Linked DNA regions of Bombyx mori. The protein of the gene in region 2 interacts with the protein of the main gene of each other region in a biochemical or structural test. Links are inferred from orthologs where the notes say so. Each region holds a gene or a part of one and is shown on either strand. Other genes may lie near its edges.

Region 1 (8,035 bases), on a different chromosome or scaffold from region 2:
CTGAAATAAATCGATGATTTAATTCAATAATGAATCAGTCTTTGTAGGAACAATGAGAGGTCGCAAATAAGATTGTGTATAAAAAAAGAGATTTCACTTTCAACTCTCTGACCTTGTTATTGCCAATTCGTTAAATTAAAAGTTTGTTTTGTTGCCTTATTGAATTAGATCAGTGCAATGTTTAGAAGCCTAGACACAGTACAGCAGAGACAGGTAGGGTTGGTGCGGTAGGAAGCCATCGCCGGTAGGGTTAGCACAGCGGCGCGGGGCTCCCGCAGCGTCGGCGCCGGACTCCTACACTTCGCCCCATGTACACTACCCGTCAGGGTTCACTATTTTCATTTATTTATTTGCGATTACAGGGTAAAGTTTTAGTGACCCATCATGAAAGTAGTGTTAGATTAACCAAACACGTCTTTGTTATGGAGCACTTAGGGACTGTTATTTAAAAGATATAATGACATTTGTCCTCAGTACTGTTCGTACTTGTTTAGAGGTCAGCCGACCCAGTGAGGGTCATTGGGACAAGGACCGGCGCAGACGTCAAGGGAGCCCCACGGGGAGCGTTTGGGGTTCGCCCCCACTCAGTACCTGTTCAACTTATTCTCTCCGTTCAGTGCCTCCGCCGGGGGGAAGCTGTGCGAGATACATCACATCATTACAATCTCGCTCTACTGTCGGGTTTACCGACTTTAACTTTGAAGTTCAACTTCTGTTTACTGGTTCGAATGTGAACACAATTACTTATGTCGCTAATGTTATGGAAATAGCTCTCTGTACCTAAAGAAGTTTAACTTCTCTTTTGTTATCGACCGATAGGTAGAGCCAATACACATCGGAATGCTAACGCGGGACTCCAGAGACGAGGTTGAAAGTTGGGCCGGCCCTCTCGGCTCGCAACGGAGTGACACTTCTGTCCCTGTCTCGAAGGACAAATCCACGACGTGATGTTTACGGGCATCGGCAGTCGCTTAACATCAAGTCTCCTATCTACGCGAATAACAAAATATATATTCTTCATCTTTTAGTCAACGGCCTAATGTGCGAAGTGTCCAGCTGGAAGCTATGTACAGGAAGAGGTCGCACACCGGCTCGCGGGACCGTGACGGCTCGTCGACATGAGCCTATGTTGTTGTGTGGGGGAGGGGGTGGGGGCGCACCTGCGCAGTTGCGGCGGGGAGCCCTCCACGTGTCCGTTGGTCTCCCGGGCGAGGCGCAGCGCCATCTCGTGGTCCCGGCGCTCCTGCTCCAGCCTGCACACGACAGTCGCCTTAGTGTCGCATCACTATACTGTTTCATTTGTGCCTCGAGTTTTACTTTTATTGTTAGAAAATTGTACTTAGAACGTATATTCTGATGTAAAGAGATATAAATCTAATTTTTTAAGATTGTTTAGTTGAGATCTCCTTGGAGGAGCACCGTCTTGAACTGTCATTAGGTTTAGTGCTCAAACTATTTAAACTAAAATTAATTAAAGTTTGACGTCATCGTCAGGTTTGAGCCCCGTAAGCTCAACTACTAGCCCGGTGATGCTGACATGATCTCCCCAGAGTCTAGACCATCAACTTAGGTAGGAAAAAAAAGTTCGTGATCGTTCGTGAAAGACACAATCACAAGTGAAAGGCGCAGTTACCGGTCCCGGTCGGTGCGGTCCTGCTGCAGCGGGTCGATGACGTCAGCGGCGACGTCGGCCGGCTGCTGGTGACGCAGACGCTCCTCTTCCTTGCGCCGCGCCTCCATCTCCGCTTTCCTGGTAACCGACAACGAATATTCTGGATCAAGTGAAGCAAGTTTATTTGCTAACAAAGTTGGTCGTATATATTGAACCACATATGTACGTCATAAAGAATGACCAATCTAGCGGTCTAAGTTTCAGCACCACACAGAGAACAGAGGCAGGGAGCCCAGTGGACAGGGGCAGGAGGACCGGGGGCAGGGGCAAGGGAGTCCGTCGGGGGGGTTGGTTCATCTCGCAAAATAACAGAATGTACTCAGAGAGTTGAAACCCACAGCCTCCTGTTCTCCTCCTCCTGTCGGATCTTCTCCTGCTCGATGCGCTTCGCTTCCTCGGCGGCTCGGATCTCCGCTTCGATCTTGCGAAGTCTCTCTTGTTCCTCCCTGCAACGATAACGTTATCGAGTCAGTACTACCGCTTCACCAACACCTAATCCGGGATTCGGATGCGGGAACCCTTTAGCTGTTGCCAGCAGATTCCTCGAACTCATTTAGTACAGGTGTCAGTTTATCAATGACCTTCTCCTGCCTACATTATTGTGTTACGTGGTGGTATAGCACAGAGACGCTCGCCCTTTCACGCATAACGTTCGGAGGTCCCCGTTACACAGGGGAACAGCCGTGAAGCCGTAGCTCAATCCTCACACAGGAAGACACGTCGCGCCGATTTCGTTTACTTTTTTTTTCTACCTAAGCTGATGGTCTTGAGAGACCATATCAGTGTCGTCGGGCTAGTAGATAAGATCACGGGGCTCAAACCTGACCTTGTCACTAACATGAACCCTAGCAAGAGCAGTGCTTCGCAGAATTTACCACCGGATCGAAAACTGAGAAGATCCGGCGAGAAACTCAGTGGGTTAATTTACTCGTCGAGCCCTTCGTCGCAAGTGACTGGTTCGACGAGAACGATGACCGGTGCTTGAGGTACCTAAAAGCACCGTTACTGGATTGAGCCACTATGAGAGGGTTTTTGTGTCGTGCCGCTTTATCGAAAAGGGGTGTTTAGTAGTTAGATTAAGAAAAGCATAAGACGAATTTGCAAGTTAGTCGACAGATAACAGTTACTCTAACATCGGCGTCAGTGATGAGCAAGATCTAAGCGCTTTTATTGTCTCTGTGTGTCCGCGTAACGGAATCTTAGAACGTGATATCACCCATTTTAAAGCGTCGGATTGAGATTTGGCGCAATAATATTGCACCGCTACGATCAACGCCACCTGGCGTCACATAGCAGCAACGGACATAGAAATATGGAAATGTCCTAGAAAATTCGGGAGAGTTCCGTGTAATAGTGATACTTTGGATGCCGCGATTAGAATACAGAATAGATTACGTCACAACGCAACAATCTGTTGTCACATAACAGATGCGCTAAAAAGTCGACTCTTCCTCACTGTAGGGTGTAAGGAAGAATCGCGCCGGGGGGCGGGGGCACCGCGGGGGGCGGGGGTACCGCGGGGGGCGGGGGTACCGCGGGGGTCGGGCGGGGTCCTACCTGTTCTTCTGTTCGACTACGGCCTTCTGTATCGCATTCATCTGTACTTCGACTTCTTTGGACAGTGTGGCCTGCATGCTGTCCAGCTGCTCGCGGGACATGTGCTCGTTGTCCTGTTGGGAACAGTCAGTTAGTCGTCGGCCCGACACCCAGTACACTTCCACGTTACAAAATTTATTGATAATGAGTTATATAAAATTAAAATTAGTCCCATTAGGTTTAAATAGCAATAGAAAGTCTGCAGTCATGCATTGAGATGCGGACCTTGACGGCGCGGGCGGCGTCGTCCAGCCGGCGGGCCAGCGCGTCGAGCGCGGGGTGCGCGGCGGGCGGGGCGGGGCGCAGGCTGGCGAGCGCGCGCCGCATGTCGACCAGGTTGTGTCGCAGCGCGGCGAGCTGGCGCAGCGCGGCCAGGCGCGGGCGGTGGCGGCGCCGCACCACGTGCCCGCGCACGCACTTCTGGATCAGCACCAGGCACGAGCGCCGGTACACTATCTTATTCTTCACTGCAAAAGTACATTTGTATTCGCATTTTTTGTTTGTTCGACCTTTTTTATATCAGACCTGGTGTGGTCCTTCTACAGATTTCCTACGTCTCAGAGGCGCGCGGTGCGTGTGAGAATCGATGGCCGGACATGTTAAAGACCCACCCACTAAGCGACATCTGATCTCCGTCCGACACAAAGCCCGGGGGACGGCTCGGTACGCAGAGAAATGAGCTTTCCCTCTTTTGTTCCACCGCTCGCCTCGGCAGGGTGGTGGACTCGCGGAAGTTAAGCATCGCCTTCCAGGACGCGTCGGCAACTAAAACGCACCACAGTGAGTACTCACATTTGATAATGGAAAGCACAGCGAAGATGCTCTTCCTCCAGCGCGACCTGACGAGCCACGTCAGCACGTTCTTGACGACGGCCTGCAGCTCGTGCGGCTCGGAGCGCAGCAGCGCGTCCAGCTCGCTGTACTTGCCGGGGCGGAAGAACACGCGGCTCACGCCCAGCTTGAAGTCCTTGTCGGACAGCCCCAGGCTGTGCACCATCGCCTGCACACGCAGCACGCTTGCAATCGTTGTGACTCAAAGCTACCTCACGCGGCGGTGGGTGCGCGGGCGGCGCGTACCTCGCAGAAGGTCCGGGGCGACAGGCTGGCGAGCTGGTGCGGCAGGTGCGGCGCGTAGGTGTGGTGCAGGTGCAGGAAGGGGGCGCGCGAGGGGTAGCCGTGCTCCATGAGCTGCAGCGCGGCGCCGGTGCCGCTGCACTGCAGCTGCGCCAGCACCAGGCCGCCCTCGCCCGCGCCGCCCCGCATGGAGCCGTTGGGCTTGACGCAGCGGACGAACTTCGTGCCCTGCGACACAAGCGGCGTCACACGAGGCCTACGACTGCTGACGGGATACTGGCGCGAGACGTACGTTCTTGCCGAGCTTGTCCATGAGCTGCGCCAGCTGCGCCTGGAACTTGGCGCCGACGGACTGGAAGGCGAGGCGGCCCCGCGCCGGCTCCGCGCCCGCCTCCTCGAACAGCTCGCGCACGAAGGCGCTGTCCGACTCCTGCATGAGCACGCCCAGGGACGCGTGCAGGGCGTCGTTGTTCTTCTCGATGAACTGCCCCTGTCGGCGGAAGTCTACATTTAAAGGCCGACCGGTCTCTGTGTGCCACTGGACTGGGACACAGAACAAATCAATTGAATTTTTATTTAAATCGTTGTCGACTTGGGCTCGTGTTCGGACATTTGTGTTGTGCGCATGCCGTTGTGTGTGCGGGTGCGCGTGTGTGTATGTGCGTGCGCGCGTATGTGAGTGCGTGCGGGGGTGAGTGCGTTCGCGAGTGTGTACGTGCAAGTGTGTGTACGTGCGCGTGTATGTGCGTGTACGTGTGTGCGTGCGCGTGTATGTGCGTGTACGTGTGCGTGCACGTTGCTGTACGTGCGCGTGTATGTGCGTGTACGTGTGTGCGTGCGCGTGTATGTGCGTGTACGTGTGCGTGCACGTTGCTGTACGTGCGCGTGTATGTGCGTGTACGTGTGTGCGTGCGCGTGTATGTGCGTGTACGTGTGCGTGCACGTTGCTGTACGTGCGCGTGTATGTGCGTGTACGTGTGTGCGTGCGCGTGTATGTGCGTGTACGTGTGCGTGCACGTTGCTGTACGTGCACGTGTATGTGCGTGTATGTGCATGTACGTGTGCGTGCGCGCGCTGACCGTGCTGTAGCAGACGGCGCCGGCGAAGTGTCGCAGCAGGAAGCCCTCGTGGTCCCGCAGCTCGCGGTGCGCCTTGAGGCGGGAGGAGCGCGGCACGTGCAGGCGCTCGCTGTGCGCGCCCAGCTCCCGGTGCACGCACTCCGTGAAGTGGGACGGCTCCGGCTTGGGCAGCTTGGACTCCTCGTCCAGGTAGTGGAATATGCCGTGGTTCTTGCTCTCGATCAAATCTGCAAACGACGCGTGTTGAGTGATGTGGATGCGGCGACGAGGGCGAGGGGGCGGCGCGAGGGGGGCGGCGCACGTACCGATGCAGTCCTGGTTGTCGACGTACTGTATGTGGGGCACGTTGAGTCCCTCCCGCTTGTACAGCTCCTGCTCGTTCTTGAGAATGCGCTCGTTGAAGAACTGCTGCAGTTTCTCGTTGCAGTAATTTATGCAGAACTGCTCGAAGCTGTTCATCTCGAAGTACTCTGCGCCAGAAGAGAACACGTTACGAATACGAACGAGATCCGGGAGTTAAGAAACAATAAATCAATCCCAAAACTAGTTGATATTCAGGTGTACCGAAGCCGGCGATGTCCAGCACGCCGACGTAGTAGGGCGCGGCGACGGCTGGCACGGCTCGGTTGACGCGGCGCACCACGTGCTCGAACACGCGGCCGTACACCGCCTTGGCCAGCGCGTCGCGGGCGCTGCACGCCTCGTGCGGCTTCAGCGGGACCCTGCGCACAGCGGGACGACTCATTGTAGGGGCGGGCGCGGGGGCGGGTGCGGAGGCGGGGCGGGTTGGGGGGCGGCGGTACCGACATGATGGCGGTGCCCTTGTGGCCGGCGCGCGCGCTCTGCATGAGGCGGGACACGAGGGCGCGGCGCAGCATGTCGGCGGGGACGTGGAAGAGGGCGGCGGCGGCGGCGAGCGCGGGCTCGGCGTGTGCGTGCACGGCGCAGCCCCCGCGCGCGCCGGGCTCCTCGTCGAACGTGATGTTCCCGAGGTGCAGGGCGCCGGCCACGGCCCCGAACACGTCGCGCTTCTCCTCCTCCGACAAGCCGGCGCGACTCAGCGCCTGAATGAAGCATTACTTAAGCTTAATTTCTTTTCAAATAAAATATCATATGATTTACATGAAAACTATTTCACTAGGCACTCTCAGATTGTGCAATCGGATTTTTTAATAATTTTCTAATGTCGGCTGCATTTCTGAGGAGGGACTCGTCCTCCCGCACTACCTGATATCATTTCAATTTATCAATTAGACCACGCGGCAAATCACCCGTTCTGTGGAAACCCTTCGTTACCTAGAATGATTTTAATTGACGCTGGAAGGATCCCGCGGTCTACCCTGCAAGCAGAAGCACGGTCCCCTCCGAGTACGGTGCAGCAGACACCGGTGTGGACTGCTTGCACGTTCCAACCAGCTCGCGTTCCAGAGACACTCCCCGAGAAATCACTCTTACGTCACCGACACAAGGAAAACAGGTTAAACATTCACCTGATTAAGTCTCTGGAAATCTTCATAGTCGTCAAGTATGGGGTCCCGCAGCCCGCCCTTGGCGAGGTGATCTTTACTCTTGCGGTCGGCGCTGATCTTCTTTTCCGAGTCCGGCGTAGTGAAGTACTGGGTGCAGCCGCTCTTGAGGTACTGTCGGGAACAATGAGCGTGAGCAGCTGTAGCTGTGAGGGGGGGCAGGGGTGGGTGGGGGGCGGCGGACTCACGTAGTAGTCGTCTGGCTTGGTGAGGCGCAGGTAGGTGCGCAGGGGGGGCGGCGCGCCGGCACACAGCAGGTAGAACACGTGGTAGTTCCGCTCGGCGGGCGCCTGGCGACACACGCGCGAGCGCTCGAGCAGGTAGTGCGAGATGTGTCCGCCGGTGACGCTGCACGCGCCGCTGAAGTGCACCTCGATGAACTTGCCGAAGCGCGAGCTGTTGTTGTTGCGGGTCGTCTTCGCGTTGCCGAACGCTTCGAGGATAGGGTTCGCTGAAAACATCATCTATTCTATAATAATATATAAATCTACAGTGGTTTTTATGGATGTTCCGTTATAACTACTGAACCATGCATCCGATTGACTTGAAACTTGGTATCCATGTAGAAAATACATGTACTTAATGGATAGGAATATTTATATGAGTGTTGGACTCCCTACACCAGTTGCGGGGGCGTTAATGATAAGACTCTGTGGGGGGGTGATAAATAATAATGTTAATTTTAAATGCCCAGCGAAGCGGACGGGTACAGCTAGTTTATTATAAGTTTGGAAACCCGGGAGAGGGAGTCTGGGTACAAATTTTAAAGTAAAACTTTTATTACATCGTCTCAAACTGTTTCGTCTGTGTGTTGCATGTCGCGTGACGGTCGGCCGCGGAGTAGGGATAAGGTGAAAGACGCTCGTCAGAGCAGCCAAGGCCAATATGGCGGCGCCTATAGTTCGCAGCAGCTGACCGTGTAGTGTATTATAGATTATTACTCATTTGTGCCAGTGCTCCACGCTATTTTGTTTGTTTTTGTCAGTGTTTAATGTAAATGTTGTTTGTCAGAGTTAAATGTCTGTAATGCGAAAAAAGTTTCACTTTTACCGTAGTTTCATAAAATCACACAATCCTTTTTTACGTTT
Region 2 (7,243 bases):
CATCATCACGCGCCGCGGCCGCACGCGGACCCACCTCGCATAACGTGACGTGGCTAAGATAAGAGTGTTAACACAAAAATATTACACACAACGAAAAAATAACCGACAGTGATAGAGATGCACTAATAACAGCTATCGGACAGATCAGCGGAGGCGGTGAGTCCGACGCGGCGCGCGCTAACAACGTACCGGAACATAAACGTTACCTCGGCATGCCACTACAAGGGACTGTGGGAAATACCACCCTCTGACGTAAGCGCGACGCGGCGGGAAGCGCCCCTCGATATCGCCAGGTGGTATTTCTCTTGGAAAAACTTATATACAAATATTAGACGCATGCACCAATCAATAGGAAAGAGTCGACCGTGCCCCGCGCGAGACAGGATCGACGAACAGCGAGAGAGAGAGAGAGAGAGGGGGCGGAGAGAGGGGGACGGAGAGCGGGGAGCGGCTAACGTGTCCAAGGCAGGTACATGTAATGACGAGCAGCAAACCATTCAGATTAAGACTGGGGTATACCTATAATCGCACCGCACTCGCCGCACGCCGTCCGACAATCGCACCGATCGCTACACACTACAAGAGGAAATCGTTTCGAGATCACAGCGTTATCGTAGTCTTTTCTTATGGACACTAGTGATGCTAGTGATGCTAGTGTACTAATATCACGATTGCGGATGGTGCGCGAGCGCTAGCGGCCGCCCTCGCCGCGACCGAATATGATTTGGGCGAGTGCATGGAAGTCTGCAAGAGAGAGAACGCTCGGTCGGATGATACGGTCCACCAACTCTGGCCGGCAGTAGACGCATGCAGACAGACGCAGGCGGCACATGCGAAGCGCCGGCGGCCGGGCGGGCGGCTCCTCGAGCACCGCCCGACCGCCGCTTTCAAACAATAACTCAATAAATTAATCAACGTCTCGCTTTCAAAGAGATCAACGCGAACATGGTGTTCGTAAATCAAGTCTACACGACGCGTGGGATTACTGAGCAAAAATGATTTTACGAGAAGTATAATGTCGAGTCAGTTTATAAATAAATGGCGGAGCATTGGGGCGGGCAAGCACGACGGTTGGCGTTAGTTCGTGCGGTGGGGTCTATCGACATGCTGGACCGAGCCTCACTGCGCGCCCGCTTTACTTCGAGAGGTGCTTGCGTAGTACAACACGTCTAGTTGTATCTTTTCATTTCCGGCAGGGCCTTCATTACGTTTATTTCACATCAATAATGGCTACAATAACAGCGTAACGAAGACCCAAATCACATTTACAATTTGGGATCCGATACTACTGACATTTTTGAATAAAAACAAAGATCCCAAAATATTTGTTAAGCTGTGTTCAAAGCGAAAATCACACTAGACATTCGTACAAACAAAAGTTATACGTTTGCACGACTAATTAATGTATTCAAATTTACTGTGAAAATCACTTCAAAAAGCACAGCCTGTACATTCATTCACATACAAATGACAGACAAGCAGAGCAAAACTAACAAATAGGCGATTTCGACAGGTTTATGAATGTAAAATAATGCGAACGAAAACCATTAACCATTTCAAAGCGCACTATTCTGGAGCGCGTAATCGGAAATCATTTTTCAATAAACGGATGGAACACACTTAGCGAACCACCAAACTTGGATGCACTACAAGCAGGAACAAAGGGCACATCTATTCACTGGTTTTGCTCAGGTGTACAAGACTGGAAGCGTGAACACTACTACTACTCTGCGGAGAGCTCACCTTCGTAATTGACCTGGCCGTCGCCGTCGATATCGGCCTCGCGAATCATCTCGTCGACCTCCTCGTCAGTGAGTTTCTCTCCGAGGTTGGTCATGACGTGGCGCAGCTCGGCCGCGGAGATGAAGCCGTTGCCGTCCTTGTCGAAGACGCGGAAGGCCTCGCGGATTTCTTCCTCGCTATCCGTGTCCTTCATCTTGCGCGCCATCATTGTCAAGAACTCGGGAAAGTCTATCGTGCCGTTTCCTGAAATTCAACGATTATTAAAATTAGCATTATTGTGAAAATCAAAGTATGTACATTATGGCGAATCTAACGTTCAAAACTTCGTTGAGAAATCAAACATGATGGACAATATTATTGCGAACCATTGGTGTTTAAAATAAAACACTGTGTTCAAAGCGGATCGACAACAGATGCGCCCTGGAGTATTCCAGAGTCAATTTATAAAGATGTATGGAAGATTTCTACGTGTCCAGGTGTCCACAGTGATGGATTTATCGCGGCATAAAACAACATTATTAACACGTTAATTCGTATTAGTCGTTCTGTTGTCTTGTAAAAATACGCTTTGTGGGTAGTTTTAAAATATTAGGACGATTTGTGTGATTCAACGCAATCCTGTAAACTAGCGACTTGAATACGTTGTACGGAAGAAAGAGATTACAGAATATTATTAGATTGTGCTATTTATTGAGCAGTTTTAATGCAATTGTATTAATTGGGACTCCAAAACAATGTTCAGGGTCCGAGTAATGACTTTCGGGGAAAAAAAGCACGAGGCGAGAAACATTTTAAACAAAGAAACCCCAATTTTCTATAATGCATTAACATTTCATCGGTAGAAAACAAAGTGAAATCAGACGACACGTAACGTGTTACGATGTGACTCGGGACTTTCGCTAAGCAAGACGTGTTGTTATCAACAACTAGTTTTTCTTCGTATAATAAATACGAAAACAACACTCGGAATTACACTGCATTTACTTTTGCATTAAGAGTCAGTCTCAAATATCGTTGAAAAGGCGGTGTAATTTAGGATTAGTTTAGAGTTCGTTAACGGCAGCCCAAATATTACTTTTGGTGGTAGTTTAGTCAGACTTCCAATCTGTTTAGCTGGTGTTGAATGATAATCAAGGCAAAGAACGTGCGTTAGTTTCGAAGTTCAAATTGTTAGTCGATTCTAATGATCTTCAGATTGGAACATTAGATTGTATATTTTTGTTGGTAGTCAACAGTCTGACCAAGTACACTACGTACACTAGTAAATTGTATTTGGCATGTTCTCCTAGTTCGCTAGATGGAACTATATTTATTCTGGCAGTATATGGAGCTTAAAGATTTCGATCACGAATCATAAAATAGATCGCGTGGGTCGTAGTACAAAACAAATTGGACTTTGTGAATAATTTATGCACGTTTTAACACCAAACCATATCTATTACTGTCAATAGTTTTGAAACGTTAAATTATGAAGCAGTGTCTTTAAATAGCTACTAAAATGAGTACACCATTTCGTATTTAGAAAACTAGAATAGAAAAGTAACGGCTATTTAAACAACTCCGAAATATAAAATTTGAATACAGGATTTAAAGCGATAGATAAGTTGTTAGCACGCGTTTGTAGGGAGGTTTTAGTAATAATTATTTGTGTAGCGTTCGTTACACACAAGCAAAATAAACATAAAGGATCAAACATAGAATCGTACACCTAATTACATAATATGATAATAAATTGTAGTCAGCGGCTTGGCTCTGGCCCTGGCATTGCTGACGTCCATGGGCGATGGTAACCACCATCACCATCAGGTGGGCCTTATGCTTGTCAGCCTACAAGGGTAATAAAAATATATATATGATAATAAGCGTCATAAATAATTCAAACTAGTACGATCAGTTGAATATAAAATCGCGAAACTTGCGTTACTCAACATCAACAAGCTGTCGGATGCGTTTGAACGGGAAATCCAATAATTTATGAGCCCCAATAACCGCATCTGTTTATGCTCATTAAAATGTCTAAGTGAAGCTACAATATCTAATATTAACATGTCGAAACATTCCAAGAAACATTATTTTCTATTCTATAAAATCTAATCCCATAATCTTCGAATTATCATTAGACTACTCGAAATAATAATACGCAATTGTGAAAATTCAATGCACTTTGTTTTATGCGGTCGCTTTGGCATTTTTAAAACAATAATAATATGATCGGATGTGAATGTCAAGTTTAAATGATAAAACGTACACATTACGTTTTTGTCTTGTGGCAATGTTGTCCATTGGTGATTACTTATAACACTCAGTTTACCTAATGATGGCTATTGTGTACAAATAAACCAGATAAATTGGTGAAGATACGCGAATTGAAGCGTCAAAGTATCTAAAGTTATAATGGCGATTCCAGTTGTCTAGCTTTTTGATAGAATCAACATTTCAATGTGACAACGGTGAACGCTCGCCAAGCCGCGTTGCAAAAATAAGTGCAAGTTAAGTTTGGCTTTCTAATTCTGGTCAACCTTTGCGAGGCGGTTCGTTCGTGATCTATAAATACACGAGCGTTTCACACACTGCATCTTGCATTCCGTGTCTTGCCACCTGGGACACTACTGTCAGTTGTCAACCGTTAACTAATGACTACGTCGACAGGTTTACTATCGATCCGGTTCAGTATGAGAAACGGATTGATCGTGTGAATGATTCAGATACACATTTTCAAATGGATACATAGTAAATGTTTTGTAATTTATTACTGTGAGTCAAATATCCTTGTTATTTTGATAACATTAGTACAAACGCGAAAACAAGCCTCGAATCGAATCTTCCGTTGCATTTCAACCTTTCGAGTAGGCCGTTCTTGTATTTACATATAAACACAGACGGCGATGTGTTATGATATTTGTTTCAGTCTGTGTTTCTGTAGCGTGTGGGAGCAACAACGGTTCTGTCTCCTTGAACCCAGCGCCGATGGCGTCGTATTTATTATTTTTGCATGGTTCACACAGCATTCCGCGTCACTAAGAAGTTAGGTTTGTTTTGATTTCTGACACAATAAACATATCATCGAAATATTGCGATTCATATTAGGTTTTTACACTTAGATTATGAAAACAGTCATTACTGTTAATGATTATACTGATTGCGTGTATTTTATATAATTTATTACAAATTTTTCTTCTTCGAAATTTATCTCTTCAGCGTCAGGTATTGAGAGTATCTGCAACCGCGGTTTAAAACATTATTTTAATTTTTTTTTTAATAATTTTTAGTTTCATTATTAGCGTTGATAAGTATAATACATATGTATATATAACATTTTTATTAGTAAGTGAGTAGTTTGTTCAAATTATCAGTACATTTTACAATGGAATGCACATGTTATTTAATGGTCAATAAAATTTATTTTATTCTTCCTCAGAGAAGCAAGACCACATAGAACTTTAAATAGGTGCGCGGGGAGCAATTATAACCCTGGCGAATTCTAAAAGTACATTTGTAGTTTTTTTAACGACATTTCTAAACTTGTGAAAATAAGGAATTATTCAAGTGAATTCAATACTTGTTCAGATTCAAAGTATTCTGTTCTCTTATTCAGCATCTATTAAGGTTGTTTCTGTTTTGGGTTAACACAATTACAAATCAGATAAAATAATATTATCTACCAAAGTGATGCGACACGTGATTCCCATTAAAATTATGACAATACGAACCTTTGTTTCCGTCCAATGTTTGTAAAGCCACAATCCTTAAATACGACTGTAAAGTCAAAAGCATGGGGCAATTAAGCCATAAATGCCACACAATCAAATCGGTAATCGTAAACGCAGGTCAACTGAGGGTAAGCTCGATGGAGTCATTCGGCAACGGCGTGCATGGCCCATATAAACAGCGCGCCCACGCTTTAAGCCGGCACGTAAAATTTTCCCAGTTATAAACGTAGATGAACTCACACATAGCCTGCCTATACTGTCGCGATGAAAACATAATTCTAGATAATTCTAAATGTCCAATGCAATTTAAGAATTGAACGATTCCCGGCGGTTGTGTTATTAACGGAACCCATCGACATCATAACGTGAATGCACCACCCACCTCAAGACGTTAGCTCGAAGTCTCAATAGCTCTATATAACAGTTGTCCCACCCTTTATTTACGGTAGCAATAGACAGAATGGCAGTAACTACCCGTCCGTGATTCAATACGTCCTACTAACAGTAATTACACATTTTTTATTATATACGCGTTATTATTCCTACATCGTGGAAGTCAAAGGAATATCTGGTAGGGTATTTGTACACCTGCAGCATTGTCGCAACGCTTCATTCGATAACACCAAGCCCCTTATCCTATAAGGCCGGACCTCCAATTAAAATCGAGTCAGATTAATTAAATATTTTTATTACATTATTCGCGGTTGAGTTTTAAGATTGAAACCATACTAAGTAGTAAAAAATTACGTAATCAATGTTAAGCTGTAGCGATTAAGATATCGTTTTAATCAGAATTCGTAAAAGCAGTCACCCGGTTGGTTCACTCAACACTTATGACTAATTCTCGTTATCTTGGTAAGCTCGTTACAGATACAGCCGTAAATATTTGAAAAGTATTTGATTCGGTTAATAAATTCAAATAGTACTCTTACTAGCCGTAAATTGTCTTCCTGAAGTGTGATAGACCCATACGTATTATTATCACAGATTATCTATTTATGATGCATACGTTCCGGCACTTTCCGACCGGAAGAGCAGTCGATATTCTGACAAGTGTCTCTATGTCGATGATAACATTCAAATTGCTCGGGATGTACGTACGCCCCCTTTTCGGGCAAGTTGCCGGTCTACCCAATAAAATTATAATAGTAACTTGATAGATGCAGGTATAACAAGCAAACGTCGGATCAGTCAATTTCGCATTCAACGGCTTTGCTAATGTGATATTATACGGTCGCTCCGAAGCCTTACGAATGAGGCAACAAGGACGCGTGATTCAAGATGGCGTCACCGACGTAAATTTAAACGAAACGCTGACACATTCCTTATATGCGATTACGTGGTAATAAATAACGGCCGTGCCCGTTCCGCGGATTCATAATTATGGGACTAATTGAGATAATTTGTCGGAAATGTCTCTTGTCTGTCCGACTAATATTTACGCTGGTGCAACCTGAAGCTACTACACCTACATCTTATTTTATTTCTTTTTAGATGGGTGGTCGAGCTCACGACCCACCTGTTGTTAAGTGGCTACCGGAGCCCATAGACATCTACAACGTAAGTGCCGCCACCCACTTTGAGACATGAGTTGTAAGGTCTCAATTTTAACAGGACAACGGCTGCCCTGCCCTTCAAACCGAAACGCATAACTGCTTCACGACAGAAATGGCAGGGCGGTGGTACCTACCCGTGCGGACTCACAATAACTTACAACATCTCTTTAATAATGCACTGCGCACGTCGCGTATTTATGGACTCCGATAACTGCTAATAGGAAGACAAGACTG

What was found. The genes of interacting proteins can lie anywhere in the genome.
Region 1: the proteins of calmodulin (region 2) and myosin heavy chain 95F form a complex in vitro, tested with the Drosophila melanogaster proteins (2 studies listed by BioGRID). The link is inferred for Bombyx mori from reciprocal best matches to the Drosophila melanogaster genes Cam and jar.

What each region holds. Positions count from the first base shown.
Region 1 is NC_085115.1:731,274-739,308, reverse strand, and holds part of myosin heavy chain 95F, read right to left. Parts: intron 7,399-8,035; coding exon 7,136-7,398; intron 7,062-7,135; coding exon 6,912-7,061; intron 6,486-6,911; coding exon 6,229-6,485; intron 6,144-6,228; coding exon 5,986-6,143; intron 5,892-5,985; coding exon 5,727-5,891; intron 5,649-5,726; coding exon 5,422-5,648; intron 4,833-5,421; coding exon 4,635-4,832; intron 4,571-4,634; coding exon 4,346-4,570; intron 4,269-4,345; coding exon 4,061-4,268; intron 3,736-4,060; coding exon 3,494-3,735; intron 3,343-3,493; coding exon 3,230-3,342; intron 2,119-3,229; coding exon 2,011-2,118; intron 1,751-2,010; coding exon 1,634-1,750; intron 1,254-1,633; coding exon 1,161-1,253; intron 637-1,160; coding exon 592-636; intron 1-591. UniProt on the Drosophila melanogaster protein: Myosin is a protein that binds to actin and has ATPase activity that is activated by actin. Together CLIP-190 and jar may coordinate the interaction between the actin and microtubule cytoskeleton.
Region 2 is NC_085129.1:673,511-680,753, reverse strand, and holds part of calmodulin, read right to left. Parts: intron 1,987-7,243; coding exon 1,744-1,986; intron 1-1,743. UniProt on the Drosophila melanogaster protein: Calmodulin mediates the control of a large number of enzymes, ion channels and other proteins by Ca(2+). Among the enzymes to be stimulated by the calmodulin-Ca(2+) complex are a number of protein kinases and phosphatases.